4 linked regions of the Saccharomyces cerevisiae S288C genome follow. Changing the gene in region 2 together with the main gene of any one other region gives a genetic interaction. Each region holds a gene or a part of one and is shown on either strand. Other genes may lie near its edges. The genes, in order: SUT1, UBX4, PRE9 and RPL8A.

Evidence for each region.
Region 1: mutations in UBX4 (region 2) and SUT1 together harm fitness more than expected from each alone (negative genetic interaction), as found in Saccharomyces cerevisiae (2 studies listed by BioGRID).
Region 3: mutations in UBX4 (region 2) and PRE9 together harm fitness more than expected from each alone (negative genetic interaction), as found in Saccharomyces cerevisiae (4 studies listed by BioGRID).
Region 4: mutations in UBX4 (region 2) and RPL8A together harm fitness less than expected from each alone (positive genetic interaction), as found in Saccharomyces cerevisiae (2 studies listed by BioGRID).

What each region holds. Positions count from the first base shown.
Region 1 is NC_001139.9:194,666-200,962, forward strand, and holds SUT1 (Sut1p), read left to right. Parts: upstream 1-3,472; coding exon 3,473-4,372; downstream 4,373-6,297. Other genes in the region: DNA-dependent ATPase RAD54, read right to left, coding at 1-1,738; YIP5 (Yip5p), read right to left, coding at 4,545-5,477; AIM14 (putative metalloreductase), read left to right, coding at 5,896-6,297.
Region 2 is NC_001145.3:400,721-407,462, reverse strand, and holds UBX4 (Ubx4p), read left to right. Parts: upstream 1-1,889; coding exon 1,890-3,140; downstream 3,141-6,742. Other genes in the region: AVO2 (Avo2p), read right to left, coding at 1-1,159; SOV1 (Sov1p), read right to left, coding at 3,226-5,922; KAR5 (Kar5p), read right to left, coding at 6,247-6,742. UniProt on the Saccharomyces cerevisiae protein: Involved in CDC48-dependent protein degradation through the ubiquitin/proteasome pathway.
Region 3 is NC_001139.9:756,638-762,668, reverse strand, and holds PRE9 (proteasome core particle subunit alpha 3), read right to left. Parts: upstream 1,278-6,031; coding exon 501-1,277; downstream 1-500. Other genes in the region: LSB1 (Lsb1p), read right to left, coding at 1-241; CCR4-NOT core subunit CAF130, read right to left, coding at 1,531-4,899; PEX4 (E2 ubiquitin-protein ligase peroxin 4), read right to left, coding at 5,222-5,773. UniProt on the Saccharomyces cerevisiae protein: The proteasome degrades poly-ubiquitinated proteins in the cytoplasm and in the nucleus. It is essential for the regulated turnover of proteins and for the removal of misfolded proteins.
Region 4 is NC_001140.6:31,653-37,702, reverse strand, and holds RPL8A (60S ribosomal protein eL8 RPL8A), read left to right. Parts: upstream 1-1,677; coding exon 1,678-2,448; downstream 2,449-6,050. Other genes in the region: GUT1 (glycerol kinase), read left to right, coding at 1-1,324; SBP1 (Sbp1p), read left to right, coding at 3,626-4,510; putative ATP-binding cassette multidrug transporter VMR1, read left to right, coding at 4,947-6,050. UniProt on the Saccharomyces cerevisiae protein: Component of the ribosome, a large ribonucleoprotein complex responsible for the synthesis of proteins in the cell.

The sequences.
Region 1 (6,297 bases), on a different chromosome or scaffold from region 2:
TCTGCAACGGCTTCAAGTTTACGAAAATAACGTGCTCATACTTGCAAGGCAAATATTTGGCCAAAATATCGTTAGTACGACGGATAATAAATTTGGAGACAATGGTAGATAGCTTCTGTAATTGCGCCTCGCCCTTTGTGATTTCTTTATCAGTAGCATCAGCATCACGCCCTCGCAAAATTGGATTCTCAAAATTTTTCCTAAATTCTGCTCTGGAACCTAATAAGCCAGGATTCGAAAAACTCAGTAGAGCAAAATATTCGGAAAGATCGTTTTGAATGGGTGTACCAGATAATATAACTCTTCTAGGACAACTGATGCTATCCAAAGCTGTGAATGTTAAAGAGTCACCGTTTTTCAAACGGTGCCCTTCATCTGCCAGCATTAAACCCACATTGCAGTTTTTCAATTGATCAACATTTCGACGTAATGTTTCATACGATATGATTAAAACGGGCTTAACAATATTTCTTCCCTGTGCCTGAGCCCAGGCATGAATAGCTTGCGAAACTGTTGTATTACCACCACCCATTGAAGATTTTTTCCCATCAACCGCTAACGGAGTTAGAGTATTGGGACCCAACCATTTTATCAATTCATTAGCCCAGTTGTTGACTAAAGAAGATGGACAAACAATGATACATTTGTCGATAAGTCTTTTACCCTGCGGGCCCTGTCTTAATAATGTCCACATAAGTGCTATACACTGCAATGTCTTACCCAGCCCCATTTCATCGGCCATGATGCAGCCGTAGGCCCCTCTATTGTTTTGTTCAGTCTTTTGAGATTCAGTAAGTGCCTTCTCGTCGCTCTTTAAGGGATCTTCGCTTGAAGTGTTGAACGCCTCAGCTTCTAAGTAATCTTTCATGACAAGCCCTGTGACACAACGGTATAAGAATCTCACCCCTTCGACTTGATGGGGTCTTAAAATCTTGGCCAGTTTTGGATCAATAACCACAGGGACACTAGCAAATTTCTTCTTGTTTTCCGCAGAGTTTTCCGAATCACCGAGTAGCTCACGTAACGGTTTGTTTCTCACACCATTTGTCATCAAAGCTGGATGGCGTCCTATTCTTTGTGTGGGTCTTTCTTCCTGGCTATTCTTTTCCTTGTTAATATTATCCTTTTCCTGTGTGCTTTTGATCATTTTCTTTGATTCTTCTTCCTTGTTATCCATAGATGTGTCATGGACAATCATTTCACCGTCAACGGACGGGTCATAAAGCACTATGGCAAATTCGTCTGTAGGGTCATGTAGAGGTCGAGGTTCTGGAGTAATTTTTTTTTTCATTCCTAACGTTAATGGCAGACTGTGTCTTTGTACATATCCCTTGATTGGCACAGTGAAAGATCTTCTCAAAGTGTACTGGATATGACTCAGTCTTGTCGGATCCTTGGCCAACCTTTGAGCACTAAGAGCATCCTTCCGTCGTTTAGTCAACTGAGAAAAACTTATGTCTTGGCTGTTGTACTCTGCTTCGTCCGCATTTATATCCAAGCCGGAATAACATACAGTCGCTGATCTTTTCCTCAAGCTCCTTCCTCCTACGATATTATCAGACCCGGTGGCGATTCTACCAGCAGCGGGCGGGATGTGCGTGTTCTTGTACGGGACCCTGAACGGTTTCGTTAGTCGGTTCACCGAGTCTTGTACGTTAATAGGCCTAGGTACCAGTCTCGGCCGTTCACCGGCTCCTATTCCATTTGGTGGTCTGTCTGGTAATCTGCGTCTTGCCATCAGTTATAAGGAAATATATATGGTACCTTGAAATAGAGCTAAGTTCTGAGCGTTTGATTTTTCTATACTTTCGTAGCAGCTTTAGTGAAGAAAGAGAAAAGTTGCTGCTCTAGATTTTGTATCGGCTATTACGTCAAGTGAGAAGAGTTTTGGCCTTCGCTTCAGTTAGATCTTCTATTATTTCCTTTTTTTTCTTTTTGTTTGTAATTGTTTTTTATTTTTTTTTTTGCGCGAAACTTTGCTATATTGGGTAACGCGTAAAATACTTTTTATTATTGCAGTAAGGCGGAAGGGTCTTCCCCTTTGCATGTTAAATAGCATACATGGCACCACTCAGGTCCAGAACGTGACACATCTTTGCACCACTTGTGTATTTTCAAGATGTTAAATTTTTGATACATAAGCTTTATCATGCAGGTGCAGTAGACGCATTTGCGTACGCGTTGAGTAGTAATGCAAGAACGCAACAATTTCACGCTTTCTACTTAAGAGGACAGATCTTCGAGCAGAATATTTTTCTCCTAGCGCGGCTTTCAGAATCTTCTTACCATCTGCAGGACATCACATGCAAGCACATGAAGCTGGAACCACGCACCATTAAATGTAAACCTACAGACATAGCTAGCACAGAAATGCTACTTTGGAAACCTCGGTTGCATCGGCTGACCTCGGCTGTTCAGCAACGTGAGCTGGTTGTTGTTATTGTTCATAGAATCCTGTATTTTACCAGTGTAGCTTTGTCCGCCCACCCCACGCTTTTGGCCACTAGTATGTACGTATATGCGTGGGCTCTATATCATTGAAAACGAATTTTCCACGCAAAACCCACTTCACACCATAAAGGCCTTATGACGATGTACATTCTTCCCCTCCCCCCTCCTCCCGAAGGAACCCTTATAGTGATCCTAATACGGTATAACGTAAACCGGAGTTGTCAGCAGAGAGAAGCGAATAATATGTTTTGCGTGGGGTTCCCACGAGCGGCAGGAACCGTAGCGCATTGAAAAATGAATCATCGATCATCTTTGGGTTTCAAGGGTTCGGACTTCGCCAAAGGTCCGAATACTTCCACCAGTATTTCTCTTTTTCCCTTTCCAGTCTCGTTCTTCGCCGAATCCCCGCTTTCCCATCATGATCGTTTCTCTGTTTCTCTCTTTCCGGAACAGGCTCTTTTCTGACCGCCAGTTCGTGCGGTTAGTTCTGTGGATCTTGCAGGCACTTGCCGGTTTAGCCACACTTCTCCGCTGTTTGTGTCGAATTTCCCTCGAGTATGAGAAAGACTGGACCACAAAAGAGGGAAAAAAAATGGGCCGATTTTAAACCATTATAGGTCACAGAAAAACTTTCTTACGACGGTGGTTTTTCAACAATACGTTTCTTGAGCAGGAGAGGAGCTTTGTTCTTTTGCCTTAGTTTTTTTTGTCTTTTTTTGTGAGCCATCCTGCTGTCGTTGCCATACATGACAGATCCACATTTGCCTTGTTGTTTTTAGTTTTTGTTCCTTGCACCATATAAAAGCGTCACTTGTATTTTCCTTACTCATCTAAACTTCAAGCTTTTTCGTCATAGTAGGTTTGTGATCTCGGCAAAGAAAAAAAATTTTTTTGCCGATCTTTCTGGTTATTGTTTCAGGTATCTTTATGAAAGTATTAGTGTACGCACTGGATTTTTGGTAGGTCTATAAAAGTGCAACACATAATCTAAATCATTGAGGTCATCGTATGTCAAAAGAAGATGTCCACAAGCATTACAGTAAGAAATAGAGATCGATCGCTACCACCGCTATTGCTCCCCAATGTTTCCCTGCTAGAAAAAGATATACGGCGTAAAGGCACCCAAAATGTGGGCATCACCGATCCAGAACTCTTGTCGACCACTTGGACGAGGAAGCGGGCTTTTCCGACTGACGAGCTTTTAGGAGGCTATAAGAGATTAAAGCCTGCTGCCGCTGACAGTAATGAGTGCGCTATTGGTATTGCCACGGTGACGCCGCCGCCAACGCTCCCCGTAAGTGCGATTGTTCCCCCTCCACAAAATTACACTCCACCATTGTTTGAGTATCATCCTCATGCTCTTGCTTCCATGGTCAATGAAGACGCTAATGCGTCATGCACTCAAATGTCTATAATTTCGCGCTCAACGAGCAACTCGACAACCTCCTCTGCCACATCTACTAGTTCAATTTCCAAGAGACAAAGAAGTGGCCCAAGTTGTGACAAATGTCGTTTGAAAAAAATAAAATGTAATGCGAAAATTGAGATTTTGCTTCAAGACGATACTATAATGCCAATGATCTCGAACAAGTTGCGGTACGTCTTGACTCCTGACGATATTCGGCTATATCGAGGCACGCTGTTGCGGAATATTGCCATACCGGATGATGTCATTGAGGGTACAGGCTCACGCAAGTTGATTAAGCATATTGATAAGTTGGTTTTGCTCACACCTTGTTTACCATGCATTAAGAAAAAGCATTCTTCTTCTTCCACTAATTTCCCAAAAAATGATAAATGTACTTTTTCAAAAGGCTTTACCAGAGCTGACATAAACATTTCATCCAAAATCTCCTTAAAATTTAAGGATAAAACCATTTACGACATAACCTATGATGACTATAAAAGCATTGATTTTTAGACAAAGGCATCTCTAATGAATAGCATCACAAAACTTGCATTTAGCATTAACATATATGGATATATATGTACACACAGAAAACGTATAAACACTCATGTATAACCCTACATAATAAGAGTATACAATGATACTAGTCATAAAAAGTATTGTGTGTATAGACGTGCGCATATTTTCAAAATATTATAAACCTGAACAATAGACAGAATAAAGTATGCAGCGCAACGACAACGATGATGGACAGCGAAAATTTCCCGTTCGATTGTGTCTCCGTATTATTATTACTCGATATTTGAGAATTCAAGAAATAAGACGACTGTGCCCACCCAAGAGCCACAATTGCCCATTGAATTGCTTGAACAGTCCTCAGGCGCTTGGACATATCCAATATATTCAATATAACACAAACGGGTATCCAGATCAAGTTAGCGTACCCGTAAACGGAAATCAATTCAGGAACACTTTTGAAGCTTCTATTGCGCTCCGAGTGCTCATCTCTATTCAATACTTGCATGGTAATAAATGGTACGCCGAACGTGTACCCGTAAAATAGCCAAATAGAATGCAGTAGCTTCTTAAACTGACTGGCCCTGTCGATGTCCTCACCAGTCTTGACGCCCTCAATTACGTCACTGATAATAAAATTTAACCCCCTACTCATGGTAAAATTGATCATTACCACCGTGGCAGTGATCCATACAGCACCGTATAAATCAGTGTTATCTTCGTTACTTTCGGAATTATGATCGTTTCTAAACGTCAGTACCGCGGACAATCTCTTTTTGAACTGCGTCAAATCGATCTGGAAGTATTTAGAATAGTAGTTTATCAATCCTGGCCTCAATCCATTACGCCCAAGACCGTCGTTGTCATTCTGTCCTATCACTTGGTCGTACGCTGGTGGGTCCATTTGACCCTGTAATGGTGCGGATTCTGCCTTACTGCCCGTTGTGTTATAAAATTCGCTACCCTTTCCAGCAGTCGAGTTATTCATGTTTGGGCTATCAGGTACGGTGGCATCATCAAATGGGTTGGGCTCGTTGCCAAAATCATCTACACCCTCGAGATCATCGTCAATATCTAAAAAACTGCTATTATTGGACGGCATTTTTCTGCTTTTGTCGAGTCAATCCTATTTGCTAGTATACAATCGTGGATGAAGCGTAAAAAAGAACTACAGAACCAATGCGTTTGGATCCAATGTGGTCGCTGCCCTTGGCCCCTTTTACCTTGAGCGTAGGACGTTGATACATTTTCACTGCTTGAGAAATTAGGTATAATACACAGCCGGGTAAATAGCGTTTAATTGATCGCTGCTCCGTAATACCGATATACTGTTACGTTATGTATTGAAAATACAGTTTAACTATTATTTGTAGGGATACTACTATGGGGTCTCAACCGCACTTAAAGGCGCTAAAATATTTTGACTTTTCCTTCCTTATATTGTAGACGTGTTATTTAAAAACTACATTTTCCATATCTCGTCGCCAGAAACTTCTAATTTGGTAAGCCTTCCAATAAATATGAAAGAATCCCCTCTCATAACGTTGGTTAAAAGACATTCCGAGACACATTTTGCCAATATCAAGTATGGGTATTATGTGTTGATAATATCATTGGTCTATCTCATTGGATTGGCTCTTTTGAGAGCTTTCGGAAGGAGAACCCCATCCAGATCGTCGTCAGCTTTCAAAAATAAGATAATTTATCGGTTGTATGATATAGATCCTGCAATTCACTTAGGTATATTGTTTTTTGCAGTCTTGATTCCATTTTATTACCATTACTCTTTGACTACCCAATCTACGGTCTATCTCAAAAGATTAGGGAGGTTGAGTTACGCCTTGATCCCGCTGAACCTATTCCTCACTTTAAGGCCTAATTGGTTCCTTAGGAAAAATTGCACCTACACTGATTTTATACCG
Region 2 (6,742 bases):
CGTCCGGGTCCTTTCTTAGTCCCATTCCTATAGTGGCATCACCGCCATTGCCGCCGCCACCGTCATCGTTGATTGTAGCTGTCTGTGAGTCTCCTCTCACGTTGTCATTGCTCTTGTTAGGCAACAAGTATCTATTAATCAACGCGATGTTGTTGTGCGGACTTGTTGGTGTTGCACTGTGTCGTACTGATTCAGATACAAGCTCTTTCTTGGGCGACACACCTACTGGAGTCTTGACGTTGATGGAGTTCACTCTTAGTCTCGAGCTGGAATTTGAGCTTGACGAAAAACTGTCCGTAGACAAGGTTGGTTTTCGTGGGTTGAATACTGGATTTGTGATAGAACTCCTCCGATTCCCACCGTTACCGCTTGTTGTATGCGTTGATATCCTTCTTGGTAATACCGGCAACGGACTATTATTGGAATAGAGCGAATATGGCGAATTCATGCTTAAAACTGGGGAAGGCCCGTCCTCGAAAGTGGCCTTCGCATTTAGTATAGGAGTTCTGAATGAACTTGGTTTTTTGCCTGCACCCAACGGTGGCCCCTTCTTTTTCACCTCTTTTAACACTTTTGAATATATATTACCTACTTCAAACGTTTGTGCTACATCTATTGGCTTCCAATTTCCCTTGTCCCTGACATTATCATCCAAGGACACCTCACCTTCATTGAGAAGCATCTTCATACAACTTATACTGCCATACTCCAGGCATACATGCAGCGGCGTGTCGCCATTAGTGTCCATTACCCATAAATCAGCACCAACTCCTATCAACAGACTCAGACATTGGTAGTAATCGTTCATACATGCTATATGGATGGGGGCTCTACCATTCTCTCCGCGATGGTTGATAAATCGCGGAAATTGTTGCAAAAGTAAATGTAAGGTTTGCTCGTGCCCTTTCATTAATGCTAAATGCACACAGGTGTTTCCTTTAAAGGTTTTTATTAGTTCATGCTTGTCGTGCCCCAGCTGAATTAAATACACGCATATAAGGTATCTTCCATGGTATGAGGCGTAATGTAATGAACTCCATCCGTTCTCTGAGTCTATGTTGGTTAGCAAATCCGGATTCCGTCGCAATAATCTTTTCACTATAAGTAAATTGCCTTCAATAATAGCCTCCCGCAAGCGAACTGAGGGCTCTTTCAACATCTTTTGTTCAATATATCCTCTTTTCTAATGGGCGTTTTTTTTTTTTATTTTTAGGGTCCAGTTGATTTATACATTTTCAATTGTACCAGATCAAAAAAGTCTAGAGGAAAAAAACGTAATTAAGACAGAAGAAAAAAAGTATCAACTCCGGAATAACCGGGCCGCAAGAGAAATCAAACAATTAGTTGCACGAACATTTTTATCAGGAATAAGCAGGTAAGGGTAGGTATAAAGGTCAGCTCAGTACACGTATATCGTGTGAGTTATCTTTATTAAAATAATGATTCCAGAATAAGCGATGAGAGAGTAACGCTATTGGAATATGATATGGGAAATATCTTGAAACAATTTCAATAATTTGTCCATGTTTATGCAGTGTTGTACAAGCGTTTTTAAAGAAACTGTATAATATTCAAGATAGCGGGCGCCTCAACCGCTGTTTTGCTCCTCTTTTCTCTTGGAACTCTTGCCAAGAAAGATGTACGCCTTATAAAACGCTAGATGCTATTTCTTGCAACTTTATTACAAAATTTCAGCACTATTTCTTGCAATCCTAGATGTTTCCCTGTCTTCTATCTTCGATGTTAATTTAGACGTTTCTTCAAAGATTCAAGTTCTCTTTTATTGTACTATGTGTGGCAAAAAAAAAAGAAAACCAAAAAATGCAAAAACTAAGATAAATCTACGTACTGCGAAGAATAGCAAGGCAGACTAATAAGCGCACAATACAATGCCTATGGTTACCGTGAAGTATAACTTCCAACTTTTCAAATGTAAAGTTTCGTTGAATTCAACACTAAACGATGTGTTACACCAATCCATACAATTCTTTCAACTGCACACCTCGTCAAACGACTGGTCATTGATACATTTGGATAAACCGGTGCCATTAGATTTGCCATGGAGGCTTCTAAACTTACCAACGGGTGTCAACTTAGAATTATCTAAAAGTAGTAATTTTCCGGTGGCGAATAAGACCAACCGCGAAGATATTCCATTCAATACGATCAAAATACGGTTTCAAATCCCAGGAAGAGATTCCGTGGTTAAAGAAATGCCATCTGACCAACCAATTGCCCCTATCTTGCGACAGATGAGCGGCGCTGCGGGAGATGATTTTAAGATCCAGGTCTTTTCCAAGATAATAGAGTTCAAAACAATTAAGGATGAGAATTTGACTCTCGAAAATTTAGGGATTCAGGAGCCTTCGTCAGTTAGATTGATTTTTAATAATACATCTCATTCTGAGGGCATTAGCGCTAATAGCGCTATTCACCCAAAACAAACTCCCCCTACGATGACGAACCCGGAAACGGTTGCTTCACTACCACCTCACGAACTACATAAACCTTCTGTGTTTTTGCCCTCGGATGAGCCATTAGCAGTTATCAAGGATCAAATCGAGGATGAAGAAGATTATGAATTGACAGTAGAACAAGCCAAGAAATACCAAAAAATGTTATCATCGAAGGCTGGTACTTTGGGTGGTCCTATTTTGACAAAGAGACTTAGAGAGCAATCAGCCAACAACTTGCCAAAGAAAAATAAGGCTATATCTGAGTGTTTGCTGAGAGTCAAGTTCCCCGATAGAAGCCATATTCAAATAGCATTCAAACCCAATGAAGACATGCGTACAGTTTATAACGTCGTGTCGCAGTTCCTGATCGATGAGAACATGCCTTTTACGTTAAACCAATCTCATCCTTTCAAACCCTTGGCTAAAGACGATAAGAAGCTACTGGATGACCTGGAATTTGGCTCTAAAACAATGCTGCTTTTTGAAACAAATTCAAATTCTAATGGCCCATTAATAAAGGCTCATCTTTTGGAAGACGCACAAAAAATCACACACGAAACGAGGACAACCCCATCAGTTAATACGATAAATAAATCCAATCCACAGGGCCCTTCTGATAACGCTACAAGTATCAAAAAGACTTTAAATAGAGTACCTAAATGGATGAAATTAAGTAAAAAATAAATACAAAGCTAAACAGTCTCCTCTTTTAACTTTATTACAAATATGTACACGTATAGCTAAAATTATATAAAATGCATCCGTTTTTTTAGGCTTTTATCTTTAACTTATTTACATCTTCTATTAATTCTTCGAGTAAAGTAAACTCTGTTCCTAATTCTTTAAAAGCATCTTCTACCATCAAGAAAGTAGAACAATCACTTTTTTCCTTCCATTTTATAAAGATCAAAATCTCCCTGATCAAATGGGATATTGTATTCTCTTGATTTGTACCCTGTGGAATGTTTTTTAAGATTGACTCATTATTCATTAGCTCCGCCTTCCGTAACTTGTACTCACAAGCATCTTTACTGATGTTACTAATATCTCGTAAATATTGTCTTTTCAAACCCTTTAGAATATACATACTCAAATCGTAATCAATATTCAAGTCAAATTTTTTCGTTAGAAACGTTAATATGGCAGGTATTGCTTCTAAATCCCCGCTTTTCATGAACGTGGACACAATTAATTTAGAAAAAGTTTTGTCTGGCAAAATTTCACCATTTTCTGCCGTCATTTGGAACAATACTCTTGGGTGACAAGTTGGGTGAATCTTTATCTGCCTTTTTATTAATTTCTTTACAATGGACGACTTTTTCGATAAAATCCTAGAATTATTTTGTAAAACATGATAATAATGGCAATACACAGACCAAATCTTGTGGTACAGCGGTTTTGTTATGATGCGACGGTTGTAAAATCGGCAAGGGTTTGAGGTGGATAATGAAGACTCAGAGCTCACCTGTTGTTTGGATTCAAGTAGCGGATTGATGATCTCAAAACTTGAATTAAAGTCATACATGCTATCATAAAAATTGAGTATTTCTCTCAAAAAAACAGCATTTGGGATAACCTCTGACTCCTGCATTCTTTTTAAAAGTGACTTCACTTTCTGCTTAAATTCCTTTTTTCTAAATGAGGGCGTATTTTGTGCCTTCATATTTTGAATTTGAAGACTATAAAATTCAACAAATTTAGCGTAATGATATGCATTAACTTCCGAATAAAACTGATTATAGAGTAAATCTGGATCTGTTTTTGATTTCTTTGAGGCTTCTTCTAGTTTTTTTAAGATATTATATGCTTTTTCTTCTTCACCTGTACCGAGAAGTATGTTCAACAAGCCATTAAACTTTCTGGAACGTGACACACTGTTTAATTCCATCCACTGTCCAGAAGCCTGTTTAGTAATGAACTCTTCCAGAAAATCAGTTAATACAATACTTTTTGTTAAGGCCGAAACATTCTCAAACAGCAATTCATTGTATATTGGAGAATTAGTGTTATACTTAGTAATAACGCTCTCAAATGCCTCTTGCAACATTTTCACATTATTCTCAGGCACTACATAATCTTTATTTTGAGCAAAAATGTTTCGTAGCTTTTCAAAATCTTTCAACATATTTAGCTTGGTTTTAACAAGTAGAAATGCGGCATCTTCTTGTGTCGTTCCAGGTATTTCCATGTACTTGCTGATAAGTTGAGCCGCCATGGGAATATTTCTCTTATAAAGATGGAAATCAACAATGCTGATATAATCATGATCCGATGGTATTTCTAGTTCATTTAAGAACTCAGTTGCATGTTTCTCATTCTGAAAATTTTTAACTCCCGTGGGAAGTTCCTCCTGCTCATCTTTCATTCTGATTATTCCAACTTCTTCCACTAACTTAATAAATCGATCAGTCAGTATATTAGCTTCAGTAACATTGCCAATCGACAAATATTTTCGTATGCTCAATTTGGTAACTCTTGGGCTCAAATAAGAATACTTTGTTGAGTACTTTGCATCTGTCTCGGCTAAAAGTTTCCTGAAGTTTCTCAAGTGGTTAGACCTTAATGTGATCATTAATCCTAGTTCATTCCACCAGCGCTCGTTTACTTTGTCTTTATTGGTAATAAATAAACTGTATGCAGCCTTATAGTTTCCAAAAACTAGTAGGGATTCAATATAGAATGACTCATTTATAGGATCTAAACGAACTTTCCCTGTGCCATAAAGTAAATTTCCGACCAAGTAAATCCCTTTCTCCTTCATTTCTTGCACTGGTATCAATTTAACAACTTCAAAAGCTTGAGCAAGTTGGCTGAATGTGACCATTTCTGTTATTGACTCTTTCGGTTTGATTATGCCATTAAACCGTTCATTAAAACTTTTCAAAATCTCCAGTAAAAATGATGTACTCCTTAACGGTATATGGCCCTCTTGATCTTCAAATTGTTCTTGTGCTGATCGGAAAATATCGTTCATTATGGATTGCTCTAAGTCATCTTCATTTCCTTTCTCTTCATTGTATACCTGGGTTTGGCCGGTCGTGTTCAATCTTTTGATTTCTAAATCACACTCTTCGAGCAAATAATTGAAAACTGCATTAATTTTTACGGTGCTATTAGAGTCCTTGCTTTCTAAGGTTTTTTTTAATCTGTTTAAATTCTTGTTACTTCTTTTAAAGTTAGTTTCATTACAAAATTTCAGATATTGAATGAACGTTTCCTGGATAGTATCAAGAGGATTGATCTCCTGAAATTTCTTATTACTGAGAAGATTATTTTCGATTTCCTCTGATGTTTTTCCTTTCAAAATGAGACATTTTTCTGGTTCGTCTGGCCCTATGATGGTCTTATTAAGAACTTCAGGTATATGGGAGGCATAATTCAATGGCGCCCGCTTCAATCTATAAAAACGAATCTGAGACTTTGCTATCAAAGCGCTGCTACAGAGTGAGCGGTTGTATTTGAACATGAGTTATAAATATAGTATGGCCTTGTTTAATACGTTACTACTACCTAATGAATACTACCTGTGCCCATGATATAGAATCTCAAGATCTTTTTGCTTCGTCTTCAATGATAAAGCTGTAGGTGCTGCACTCGAACTCTCTTAAGCAAATTAACTTGGATAGTGACGTAGGACACCTTCTCTAGGTTCACTTGCCCGTATTATGGCCACCATGATCCGGTGTCCTTGAATTTTTAAAGAATATTTATTTTGCTAGACTTTGAATGCGGCTATATACCTATACATCTATGTATATATAGGCTTTCATATATTGTTACATCGGTAATGTTAAAAATCAATCAATGAGCCAGTCTTAGCTCCTAGATAAATTGAAAGTAGAAGAGCTGCCCATTGGTAATAGCGTTTAATAGGAATCATTTTGACGTTTACTCGAGACGTACGGTATTTTGACCAAATCCACACAACGGAGCACAGTAACCAGTAGTATTTATTCTTGACTGCAAGGTACCCACATCTTATAATCATTTTACTAGTTTTCCACATAAAATCCAATACCCTCATCATTGTCATGACATTTTTATGGACAAGTGAGACTCTGATTTCAATGTCGTCTAATTTTTTTTTTGTGCCATTCAGTTTCTCTGAAATATCATTAAAAGTTGAAAAAATCTCCTCATTCCATAAAGCAAAATCTCCATTTAGTGTAGATGTTATAGCTGTCCATTCTTGTAGTAAGGTATTTTTGAAGTTCGTCATCTCAGGTACTATCTCATCCGTCATGGATGGTAACAATGAATCATGAAGGATGGAATTGAACCCTTGC
Region 3 (6,031 bases), on a different chromosome or scaffold from region 2:
GTATTTTATCACCTGTTTTCAATGACAAATCTCCATCTTGTTGAGCTTCAAAATCATATAAAGCTTCAACGTACTCTTCTGTATCTGCATTTTGGGGCGATCTTTGGTTTCCATCCCATTTCTCAGGTAACTTGCTATTGATTAATTCGAAAATGTCGCCTGATATGACGTTTGATTCCTTCAAAAATTCTAATTCATTCCTTATATTTTTCAATGATCGATTCACTAGTGACGCAGACATCGCTTTTGTTTATTTTTGAAGTGCTGCCAAAATTAGATTGGAGTTAGAATCCAACAACAAGTAGGCCAAACGAGCAGGCCCTTTTTTATATTTGCCTCTCGAGCGATTCCGATCTTGAAATTTGCGCAAAAAAAAGTTTCTTCAGCCTTCCCCCGAAAGGGGAATCTTAGCGATTTTTTTCTTTCACTTTTAATTTTAGAGATATGTTTCTATGCGTACATATTTATATAAGCATGAAGTCAAACAATACTTTCCAACCTTATTTCATATCTTCATCAGCTTCTTCGTCTTCATCCTTCTTGGTAATACCAGTCTTTACCAATATATCCTTTATCTCTTGAGGCTTGAAAATCTTCTGATACACTTCTCCGTCATTAGCACCCTTTCTGATAGTAGCAAATTCCAACCTGTCATAAGTCAGCGCGCTACTGTCGGTAGTTTTGGATAACGTTTTTAAAGCCAGTTCAATGGCATCATCGACTTTCATATCATCCTTGTAGTCCATTTGAAGTAGGGTTTGTGCTGCTGATGTGTTAGCGCCAACACTAATAGCCTTCCACCCTGTATAGTTTCCCGATGGATTAGATGTATACAATTGGTAACCGTATCTATCGTCATAACCGGCGTAGATAAAGGACACACCAAATGGTCTTAAACCACCATGTTGCGTGTAACCTTGTTTTATATCACTTAGCCTTCTCACCAAAATTTCTACTGGTATATCTTCATTATAGGTTTTAAGGTAATTTTGAGCGTGAATTCTAGCCGTATTTATTAGAATTTCTGCATCTGCAGTCAGTCCAGCAACGGCAACCGCAATTTTATCGTTTAACTTATAAAGTTTTTCGGTAGAGGTGTCTTGTTCTAGTAAAGTACTTGTGACTTTGCGTTCTGCTGCAAGAACAATCCCATCAGATGCCATAATCCCAATTGCGGTACCTGCATGTGAAATGGATTCTAGCGCGTATTCAACCTGATATAGACGTCCCTCAGGGGAGAAAATTGTTGTCCTGGAATCGTATCTTCTGGAACCCATGTTTAACACTACTAACTATATCCAATAATCAATTATTAAAATAGAGACTGATCGAAAACTTTTTATAGAAAGCAGTCTGTTCTCTTCGCTCTGCCAATGTTTCCTTATTACATAGATATCCATCTTTTTATGCTTTTATTCTATAAATTTTTTGCCACCTGCAGGGTAACGAATATTTAACTGCCTCAAGATGTTATTACATGGCTAATTGTCATTAAATGAGGATGCAGAGAAAACATGAGCAATTCACTGCTCACTCACTGTCTCCAACATCGAGCTCTGCGAGTGTTATATATTCATGAAGTGGGATAGGCTTATCGGCTTTGGGCAATGGCAAAATCTTACCATCGTAGAACACCACCCTTCTTCCTGGAGGGTTCACCTGGGTGTCGAAGGAGTAATCAGCGATAAAACTACGCAACGTGTTAATAGGGGAACTATCGTCTTTGTTTGCAGGCTTTGAGGGAAACAGGTTTAACAATTTCAGATTCAGTTCAGAAGCTGGCTTAGCGTTTAGCTTCTTCTCTATGTCAGAGTTCTTCCTGCCCTCATGCTGCATAGTATCGGCACTATCCTCTTCTTCCATGGCGAGCCTTGTCTTGATCTTAAAGAATAAATCTTTGGCTTCAGGAAGGATGCCAATCCATGTCATCAGTAAAGTTTGAAGCTCAAAAGTGCATTCTGATTTGGTAAAAAAAAACTTGTCGTTCGCGATGAGTGTCTGCACCATGTAACAGATCAACCTAACCAAACCAAGGGAGTACAAGGAGATTTTCTCGCCGTCTTCATTCTCTTCTTCGTTATTTTTTGATGACAAAAAAATAGCAGCATTCATAAAAAACTCCTGCAGTAACATTTTAGTCTCAATATCAGATAATACGATAGGTCCTTGCCTTGAAAAGGGAAGTCCTGAAGCATCTTCATTCTTCTGCTTTTTCTTCAAGATCTCATATATCATATCATCCTTTTTATCTTGATCACTGGCTTCTCCGGAAAACGGTTTTCCACGTAACCCCATTATTAGTTCAAAAACGTAATATATCAACGAATGTTTTAACTCCAAATGCGTAAGGAACCATATCAATATTCTCCTATAACCGGTGCACATTAACATTTCATCCATTAATCTCCACGCAACGTCGTGATTCACGTTTAGCATCCTTTCAAATGCTGATTCTTCAGACCATATTTCATAAATATCATCCGGCGTGGTTCTTCTGAGATCTTCATTATCTATCTTGGACATTTTGGTATTTCCTTCACCTTCTACATCGCCGTTTATACTTGCGGAAAAATTAGACTCCAGGTCTGCTAAAATCATTTGGTCCTGCTCGTTCCTTACACACGATGCAACTGAACGCACTAACAATATGGATTCCTCCTTATTCAACTTTTCTGTTGCGCCACGTAGAGTCAAACTAAATATGACATCTAACTTAGGCTCATGGATGAATGAATAAGATGGCGAATAGTACATATTGAAATCTCTGGGAACGTCCCTCCAATCTTCCCCACTATAGTCAAATTCAAAAGTACTTCTTGATCTAACGGAAAGTGGGTTAGGTGACGTAACGACGTGATCAGAAGTGGCTGTAGTCGCGTTATGTACCGCATTCCTATTATTATGCATTGCGCCTTCAACGTTTTCGCTATTTGTTGACCCAAAGGCTTCATTTGCACCATCCTCTGCCACCAACTTATCATCATTGAAGATGCAATTGCACCGTCTCCGAAAGAAAACATTATTACTACCAGATGCTATTTTTTCTGTTGGGTTAACAACGCTTTCATCCAATCCTCCATGATCGCTTTCAGAGAAAGATTCATCATAATCTTCACATTCATAATCAAACATATATCTAATATCCTCATCAAATCTATCACCTGACTGTAAATCGGCAAATAAATCTGTTACATCTTCGATGCTTGCTCCAAGCGCAAGTAGAGATGCAGTATGTGACCTTAAATCGGCATATAAAGCACCATGACACAATTTTCTTCCATAGGGCGACATGAATGTGTTTAAAGACTCGTGCTTGAAATCATGATCATTATTTTTCACTAATCCATTGAGAACGGTAGCTATTACAGACCTCAATGCTGCGGCTCCACGAATTGTGGCGCGAACCATAAGCGGCGTTTCGTAAGTGCCATTCTCCTCTTCAATTCTATCAATTTCTAAGGCTAAAAGTATAACACAGGAGAGGTTTTTCCATAAGGATATTAATGAAAATAAAAATGGGTTTAGTTGTATAGGTATTTTTTCATACAACTTGTAGATGGTATATACCGCCAGTATATCAATCATATAGAGTAATTCCAAGTCTTGTGTATTCAGGCCATGCGGTAGCCATCTGTGAAGTTGCGTCTTCCAATGAACTGCATTATCTGTATTGTTTACCGAGTTTAATATATCAAAATCAAAGCAGTTGAGCCTCAACATGGTAGCATCAATAATTTTTTGCATGTTAAAACACATATAAAATTTCCAGTCATAATGGTCGTTGTGTTCTTGAGAAGTCTTGATCGACTGAGACATTAATCCCAAAAAAAGCTGAAAAAGAAAGTCTATCGATATAATATGCTTATCATTGGGAGTAGGCTGCATTAATGGATCTACTAAGCCACATAGCGTAGAAAATTGTAGTTCCAATAATGGCGTCAATACCGTAGTGAGATTTAATATTTTAAAAAGAAGCTCGTGTCTTAGTAAAGAATGCTCCATAACGTTGGGTATTTCAAGCGTTCCATCTTGGTTCAGTTCGAATGAATATATTTGTTCCTGGTCATTTATTGTTCGGCCCATTATCGCCTCTCTCGGTTGTTTTTGATGATCAAAACGGCTATCGTCAAGGCCACTTCCAGCATTGCCTTCATCATTTTCCATTAACAGGCTAATGTTATCACTAAAAGTAAGATTTACTCTGTTCTCAGCATTAAAGGAATACCAGAAATAAAAATTTCGGCATTCTATCATTCTATTGTAATCTTTTAAAATTTTTCTAACGACAAGTGCTGGCTTATCAAATGTGGAGCTGCAGCTTATCAAACTCTCTATACGGCCAGTTATCGAATACAAATAGTCCTTTAACAAATTATACGTTTCATTGAGTAATATGGACGGAATAGTAATTTTTGAAACAATTAAAAAGCTCAACGGGAGTTTGTATTCTGGAAGATTGTACCGATTAATTTGAAGAGGGGCCGTTTTATTTGCTAATAAAAACCTTAAGAATTTCAGGAGTAATATATCATTATCTTTCCAACTCAGTACTATGGAAGCATAGCTAGAACTGTTATTTTCAAAGGACTGGGCCCAGGATTTTCTTTCCTTCAAAGAAGAAGTCTGAATTAATCGTAAAGCTGACTTCCCTGAAATTGTTGTGAACAACGTAATTATGAGAGCCTCAAGCAATAGGTTAGAGCATATTTTCTGATCATTAAACATGGTTTCATTATATAAGATCTTCTCCAAATTTTCCACCGATGGAACATAATTTTTATCTTTCAGTAACTCTTGTAAGGGAATAAAGTCCTTAAAATGAACCGAATCACCTGAAGAATCTTCACTGGCTAAATTTTGCCTTTCAGCATAATTAGTAGCTGCTTTCTTTTTCGTCATCACTTTCTTACGTAAGTATGTGGAGTTAAGAGAGAAAAAGTGTTTGAAAAAAGCTCCTCAACGATCTACTGGGCTGCCAAAATAAAATTCAGCGTCAATGGAAAAGCTAACTAATGTAGATATTGCGTGCACTACTTGTCAAAAATTCGTGCTCCTTATTAATATATGTATATGTATATACAAATGTGTCAATACATCAATAGTGCAATTTGTTAAAGTATTTGTATTCATAAATTGGCGCTGCCCGGGTAAGGTAGAAATTGCATCAGATAAAAGTGAGGGCCCATTGTTTGCCATTCGAACACATCCATCCTACGTGGTATCAATGGTTGTTGATCCGCTCTCTTTCTGCTAGGAAGTACTTTACAATCCCCTGATAGGCACTCATATCGCCACAGCGGATGATATTACCAATGTCTACGTCAAGTGGAGAATCACAAACGGGTTCCCTTAGGAGTCTCCAAACAGCATGAACACAGTGTAACAAATCCCATACAGGAGTCCACTCCTCTGGTTTAAGGATGTTCAGACATATTTCTCCTGTGGCTGATTTAACATTGCAGTGCAAAATATTGTTCTGCATAAAACTTATCTTTGGTGGATTCATGGGGTAGGAACTAGGGACTTCTATTAGTATTCGAAACTGATGATTTTCATAAGGTGTGTCTGACGGCCCAGAAATTATAGCTTCCCACTTGCTCAAGTCGGTTTCGTCAATCGGGTTAAGTGACTCGATTATCCCCCGGTAGGGGTTCGCTATGGGGTCATCACTGGCCAATGTTTTCAGTATGACTTTGTACTCCTTCACGATCCTCGACATACATGTATCAGACGTATAGCTCCTACGATTCTCAAGAATCCAGAAGTTTGGCATATTATGTATAAAGGCGATGATTATGTATATTTTATGTTGTCTCCAGTAAGTGGCAGCATAACCCGGCCAGTCTGCGCTGCATGCTGTGAAGCAGTAATATGCGATATATACCACATATATTCCGCTTCCGTTCAGGATTTCGAAAAGAGAAACTTCAGTGAATGACTATGACTACATAGTTGGAGTCTTAGACCATTGCAAATGAGTTATTCAAGTATGAGAGATCAACACTGATGAGAATAAACTCGTCTTCATGAT
Region 4 (6,050 bases), on a different chromosome or scaffold from region 2:
CAATGAGCCTCTGTGTACCAAGGCGTATGAGGAGAACGACCTGATGTTCGGCACTGTGGACACATGGCTGATTTACCAATTAACTAAACAAAAGGCGTTCGTTTCTGACGTAACCAACGCTTCCAGAACTGGATTTATGAACCTCTCCACTTTAAAGTACGACAACGAGTTGCTGGAATTTTGGGGTATTGACAAGAACCTGATTCACATGCCCGAAATTGTGTCCTCATCTCAATACTACGGTGACTTTGGCATTCCTGATTGGATAATGGAAAAGCTACACGATTCGCCAAAAACAGTACTGCGAGATCTAGTCAAGAGAAACCTGCCCATACAGGGCTGTCTGGGCGACCAAAGCGCATCCATGGTGGGGCAACTCGCTTACAAACCCGGTGCTGCAAAATGTACTTATGGTACCGGTTGCTTTTTACTGTACAATACGGGGACCAAAAAATTGATCTCCCAACATGGCGCACTGACGACTCTAGCATTTTGGTTCCCACATTTGCAAGAGTACGGTGGCCAAAAACCAGAATTGAGCAAGCCACATTTTGCATTAGAGGGTTCCGTCGCTGTGGCTGGTGCTGTGGTCCAATGGCTACGTGATAATTTACGATTGATCGATAAATCAGAGGATGTCGGACCGATTGCATCTACGGTTCCTGATTCTGGTGGCGTAGTTTTCGTCCCCGCATTTAGTGGCCTATTCGCTCCCTATTGGGACCCAGATGCCAGAGCCACCATAATGGGGATGTCTCAATTCACTACTGCCTCCCACATCGCCAGAGCTGCCGTGGAAGGTGTTTGCTTTCAAGCCAGGGCTATCTTGAAGGCAATGAGTTCTGACGCGTTTGGTGAAGGTTCCAAAGACAGGGACTTTTTAGAGGAAATTTCCGACGTCACATATGAAAAGTCGCCCCTGTCGGTTCTGGCAGTGGATGGCGGGATGTCGAGGTCTAATGAAGTCATGCAAATTCAAGCCGATATCTTAGGTCCCTGTGTCAAAGTCAGAAGGTCTCCGACAGCGGAATGTACCGCATTGGGGGCAGCCATTGCAGCCAATATGGCTTTCAAGGATGTGAACGAGCGCCCATTATGGAAGGACCTACACGATGTTAAGAAATGGGTCTTTTACAATGGAATGGAGAAAAACGAACAAATATCACCAGAGGCTCATCCAAACCTTAAGATATTCAGAAGTGAATCCGACGATGCTGAAAGGAGAAAGCATTGGAAGTATTGGGAAGTTGCCGTGGAAAGATCCAAAGGTTGGCTGAAGGACATAGAAGGTGAACACGAACAGGTTCTAGAAAACTTCCAATAACAACATAAATAATTTCTATTAACAATGTAATTTCCATAATTTTATATTCCTCTCCACCTTCTATTGCATCATGTACTATTCAAATGACTGTAACACTAGTATTATGAAGAAAACACCCAAACATATCTAGGCCATCAGATTTTTTTTTTTTCATTTTTCATTTTTTTCTCATTTTCTTATTTATTTTTATTGAAAAATAATAACCGACGCAAACAAATTGGAAAAACCAACGCAAAAAAAAAAAGACGCTAAATTGTTTATAAAGGCGAGGAATTTGTATCTATCAATTACTATTCCAGTTGTCAGTTTACATTGCTTACCCTCTATTATCACATCAAAACAACTAATTCGAAATGGCCCCAGGTAAGAAAGTCGCTCCAGCTCCATTCGGTGCTAAGTCAACTAAGTCTAACAAGACTAGAAACCCATTGACTCACTCTACTCCAAAGAACTTCGGTATTGGTCAAGCTGTCCAACCAAAGAGAAACTTGTCCAGATACGTCAAATGGCCAGAATACGTCAGAGTGCAAAGACAAAAGAAGATCTTGTCCATCAGATTGAAGGTTCCTCCAACCATTGCTCAATTCCAATACACTTTGGACAGAAACACCGCTGCCGAAACCTTCAAGTTGTTCAACAAGTACAGACCAGAAACTGCTGCTGAAAAGAAGGAAAGATTGACCAAAGAAGCTGCCGCTGTTGCTGAAGGTAAGTCCAAGCAAGATGCTTCTCCAAAGCCATACGCTGTCAAGTACGGTTTGAACCACGTTGTTGCCTTGATCGAAAACAAGAAGGCTAAGTTGGTTTTGATTGCTAACGATGTCGACCCAATTGAATTGGTTGTCTTTTTGCCAGCTTTGTGTAAGAAGATGGGTGTTCCATACGCCATTGTCAAGGGTAAGGCTAGATTGGGTACCTTGGTTAACCAAAAGACCTCTGCCGTTGCCGCTTTGACTGAAGTCAGAGCCGAAGACGAAGCTGCTTTGGCTAAGTTGGTTTCTACCATTGACGCTAACTTCGCTGACAAATACGATGAAGTCAAGAAGCACTGGGGTGGTGGTATCCTTGGTAACAAGGCTCAAGCCAAGATGGACAAGAGAGCTAAGAACTCCGACTCCGCTTAAATTGAAAATGAGAAATTTTGCATAAAAAATTTATTTTTTAATAATAATATTAATTTTCAAACGTTTTAATATAATAATGACCTTAAATAACCTTTTAAGGTGATTGCTTTGTTGAAGCTTTGATACTTGGACCATGGGAAGTACCTCATTATAGGAAAATCATATCGACTTATTTTGAATATCACAATAATTTTGCATGCCTTAGTAGTTTTGGATTACCTAAGCTATGTTGATCGCATCCAAGATTATTAGGTCAGAAGGTCATTAACATCCAAAAGCGATATGATTGTGCCATTGAAGTGAGTGAAAGCCGTGGTTTCGAGACAAAGTTACAGAAGTAGTCACCGTTGTAAATAAGTATTGCCATATCGGATTGATGCTGGGAAGAAGTTCAAATTCATATTCTCACTTGCGCTACCCGTGCAGCTGGCAATCTTGAAGCCAGCGTCCAGTTAGTCTGATATGGCGTGTTTAACGATGTTTGAAACTCCACGATCATTGGTCGAGTCAAGAATAAATGTAATGTCATTTGAAATGTCGTCAGTAGACGTCCGTTACAGTTATGAAAGACTTCGAGGCCGCACACTAAGAGTCACCATGCTACTTCTGCAGGTGGCCGCGCTGTACACTTGCATTTTGTATGGGGAACTTTATATTTAAAATTAAGGCTAAGGCAATGTAGGCACTATCTAGGGATCTCAAATACATAAATTTCTCTGCAATTAAGTTATTAGATCTACAATTTACCAATTTTATCATCGAGCGGAAAATATTGAAAAGTATATACAATTTCTCCTAAAAAGGCCCTGCTCGTTTTGACCTGTACTAGTAACTATTTTGCAGCCAATTATGGTAGTGAAAATATGATAGTACACTATTTTTTGGGTCACTACTGCCGCTAAATATTTTAAAATTTGTATGAATTGCCTCTTTATTATCTTTAAATTCCCGTCCCAGGTGACGCGTCGCCAAAGGGAAGGGGCAAAACTAGTCGAAAAGCAGAATAAAATTTTTCTAATTTAGCCACCCTGAGTGTCACAGGTTGTGGCATAAAGGATACGCAATTGGACTCAAAATAATCATTCTGCAAATTTAAAGGAAGTTACTGAGTTATCACTACATCGAGAGAAGAAGTTTCCCCCAAAAGAAAGAAGAAAACCCTCAAACGAAGAAAAATATGTCTGCTGAAATTGAAGAAGCTACTAATGCCGTAAACAACTTGAGCATCAACGACTCCGAACAGCAACCAAGGGCTCCTACTCATAAGACAGTAATTGACCCCGAGGACACAATCTTTATTGGTAATGTTGCTCACGAATGTACCGAAGACGACTTGAAGCAATTGTTTGTGGAGGAATTCGGGGATGAAGTCAGCGTAGAGATCCCAATTAAGGAACACACCGACGGTCACATTCCAGCTAGTAAACACGCTCTAGTCAAGTTCCCAACCAAGATTGATTTTGATAATATCAAGGAGAATTATGACACGAAAGTCGTTAAGGACAGAGAAATTCATATTAAGAGAGCTAGAACTCCAGGCCAAATGCAAAGAGGAGGTTTCAGAGGCAGAGGCGGTTTCAGAGGCAGAGGAGGTTTTAGAGGAGGTTTCAGAGGCGGCTACAGAGGAGGTTTCAGAGGCAGAGGGAACTTCAGAGGTAGAGGCGGCGCCAGAGGTGGTTTCAATGGACAAAAAAGGGAAAAGATTCCATTAGACCAAATGGAAAGATCAAAGGATACCTTATATATTAATAACGTCCCATTCAAAGCTACCAAAGAGGAGGTCGCTGAATTTTTCGGTACTGACGCCGACTCCATCTCTTTGCCAATGAGAAAAATGAGAGACCAACACACTGGTAGGATCTTCACATCCGATTCTGCTAATAGAGGTATGGCATTTGTCACTTTCAGTGGTGAAAACGTTGATATTGAAGCTAAAGCTGAAGAATTTAAAGGCAAGGTTTTCGGTGACAGGGAGTTAACTGTAGATGTTGCTGTTATTAGACCAGAAAATGATGAAGAAGAAATTGAGCAAGAAACTGGTTCTGAAGAAAAGCAAGAATAATTACTTCTTACCCACATCCCTATTTCTAACTTGAGTTTTTGCTAGAGTTTTGTATTTTTGTTCACCTTCCCTGCAAAAGAAATATGTGTATTTATATATGCGTGTATACCTATATATGATATGTAAAAATGAGACGCCCCTGTTTTATTTTCAAACACTTCCCCGTATAGTTTTTTGCAATGACACTACTTTAACTTCTTCGACATGATTTGCTTTAGCACTACGAAGGATTGCATCATAACGTTTCGAAAGGGGTGCACTTTTAAAAACCAGTAAGTGAGTGCCTCGTGAACTGCTATTTTCGTATTTTGAAAAAAAAAATAAAAAAAAACTCCCTTATATATATATATAAATATCTATGTACTAAATGTCAAATCGCTAGCTCTCACCTATATCTTATTCATGCTGCAACCTCAATGGTTCACTACCTCGGAGAATGGGAACGGATCCCCTTATTATCCGAAATAATGGTTCATTTTGGGAAGTTGATGATTTTACTCGTTTAGGAAGAACTCAGCTATTGAGCTACTATTTACCATTGGCTATCATAGCCTCAATTGGCATTTTCGCACTTTGTCGCAGTGGATTATCTCGTTATGTAAGATCTGCCGAGTGCGATTTAGTGAACGAATATCTATTTGGCGCACAAGAAGAGAGAAAAGAAGATAATAGTATAGAAAGACTTCTACGGAACTCAAATACCCAAGCCAATTACGTCAACGTCAAAAAGCAAGGAAGGATTTTGAAACTTAGACATTTTGATATAACAACTATAGATGTCAAGCAAATCGATGCTAAAAATCATGGTGGACTAACGTTTAGTAGACCGTCTACTAGTGACCACTTAAGAAAATCATCTGAAATTGTATTAATGTCTTTACAAATAATTGGCCTTTCCTTTTTAAGAGTAACAAAAATCAATATTGAATTAACGAACAGAGATGTTACAACTTTACTATTATTTTGGTTAATACTACTTTCCCTAAGTATCTTAAGAGTTTACAAGCGTTCAACGAATCTTTGGGCCATCTGTTTTACTGCCCATACAACTATTTGGATTTCAACCTGGATTCCAATTCGTTCGGTCTATATTGGTAATATCGATGATGTACCCTCACAGATATTTTACATCTTTGAATTCGTAATTACTTCAACCTTACAGCCAATAAAGCTCACTTCACCGATTAAAGACAACTCATCCATCATCTACGTTAGAGACGACCATACGTCTCCTTCGAGGGAACACATATCCTCAATTTTAAGTTGCATTACTTGGAGCTGGATTACCAATTTTATATGGGAGGCCCAAAAGAACACTATTAAGTTAAAGGATATTTGGGGCTTATCAATGGAAGACTATAGCATTTTCATTCTAAAAGGGTTTACCAGGAGAAACAAGCACATTAATAATTTGACGCTAGCACTGTTTGAATCTTTCAAAACATATTTACTCATAGGAATGTTATGGGTTCTGGTGAACAGTATTGTAAACCTTCTTCCCACAATTTTAATGAAAAGATTTTTAGAAATTGTGGATAAC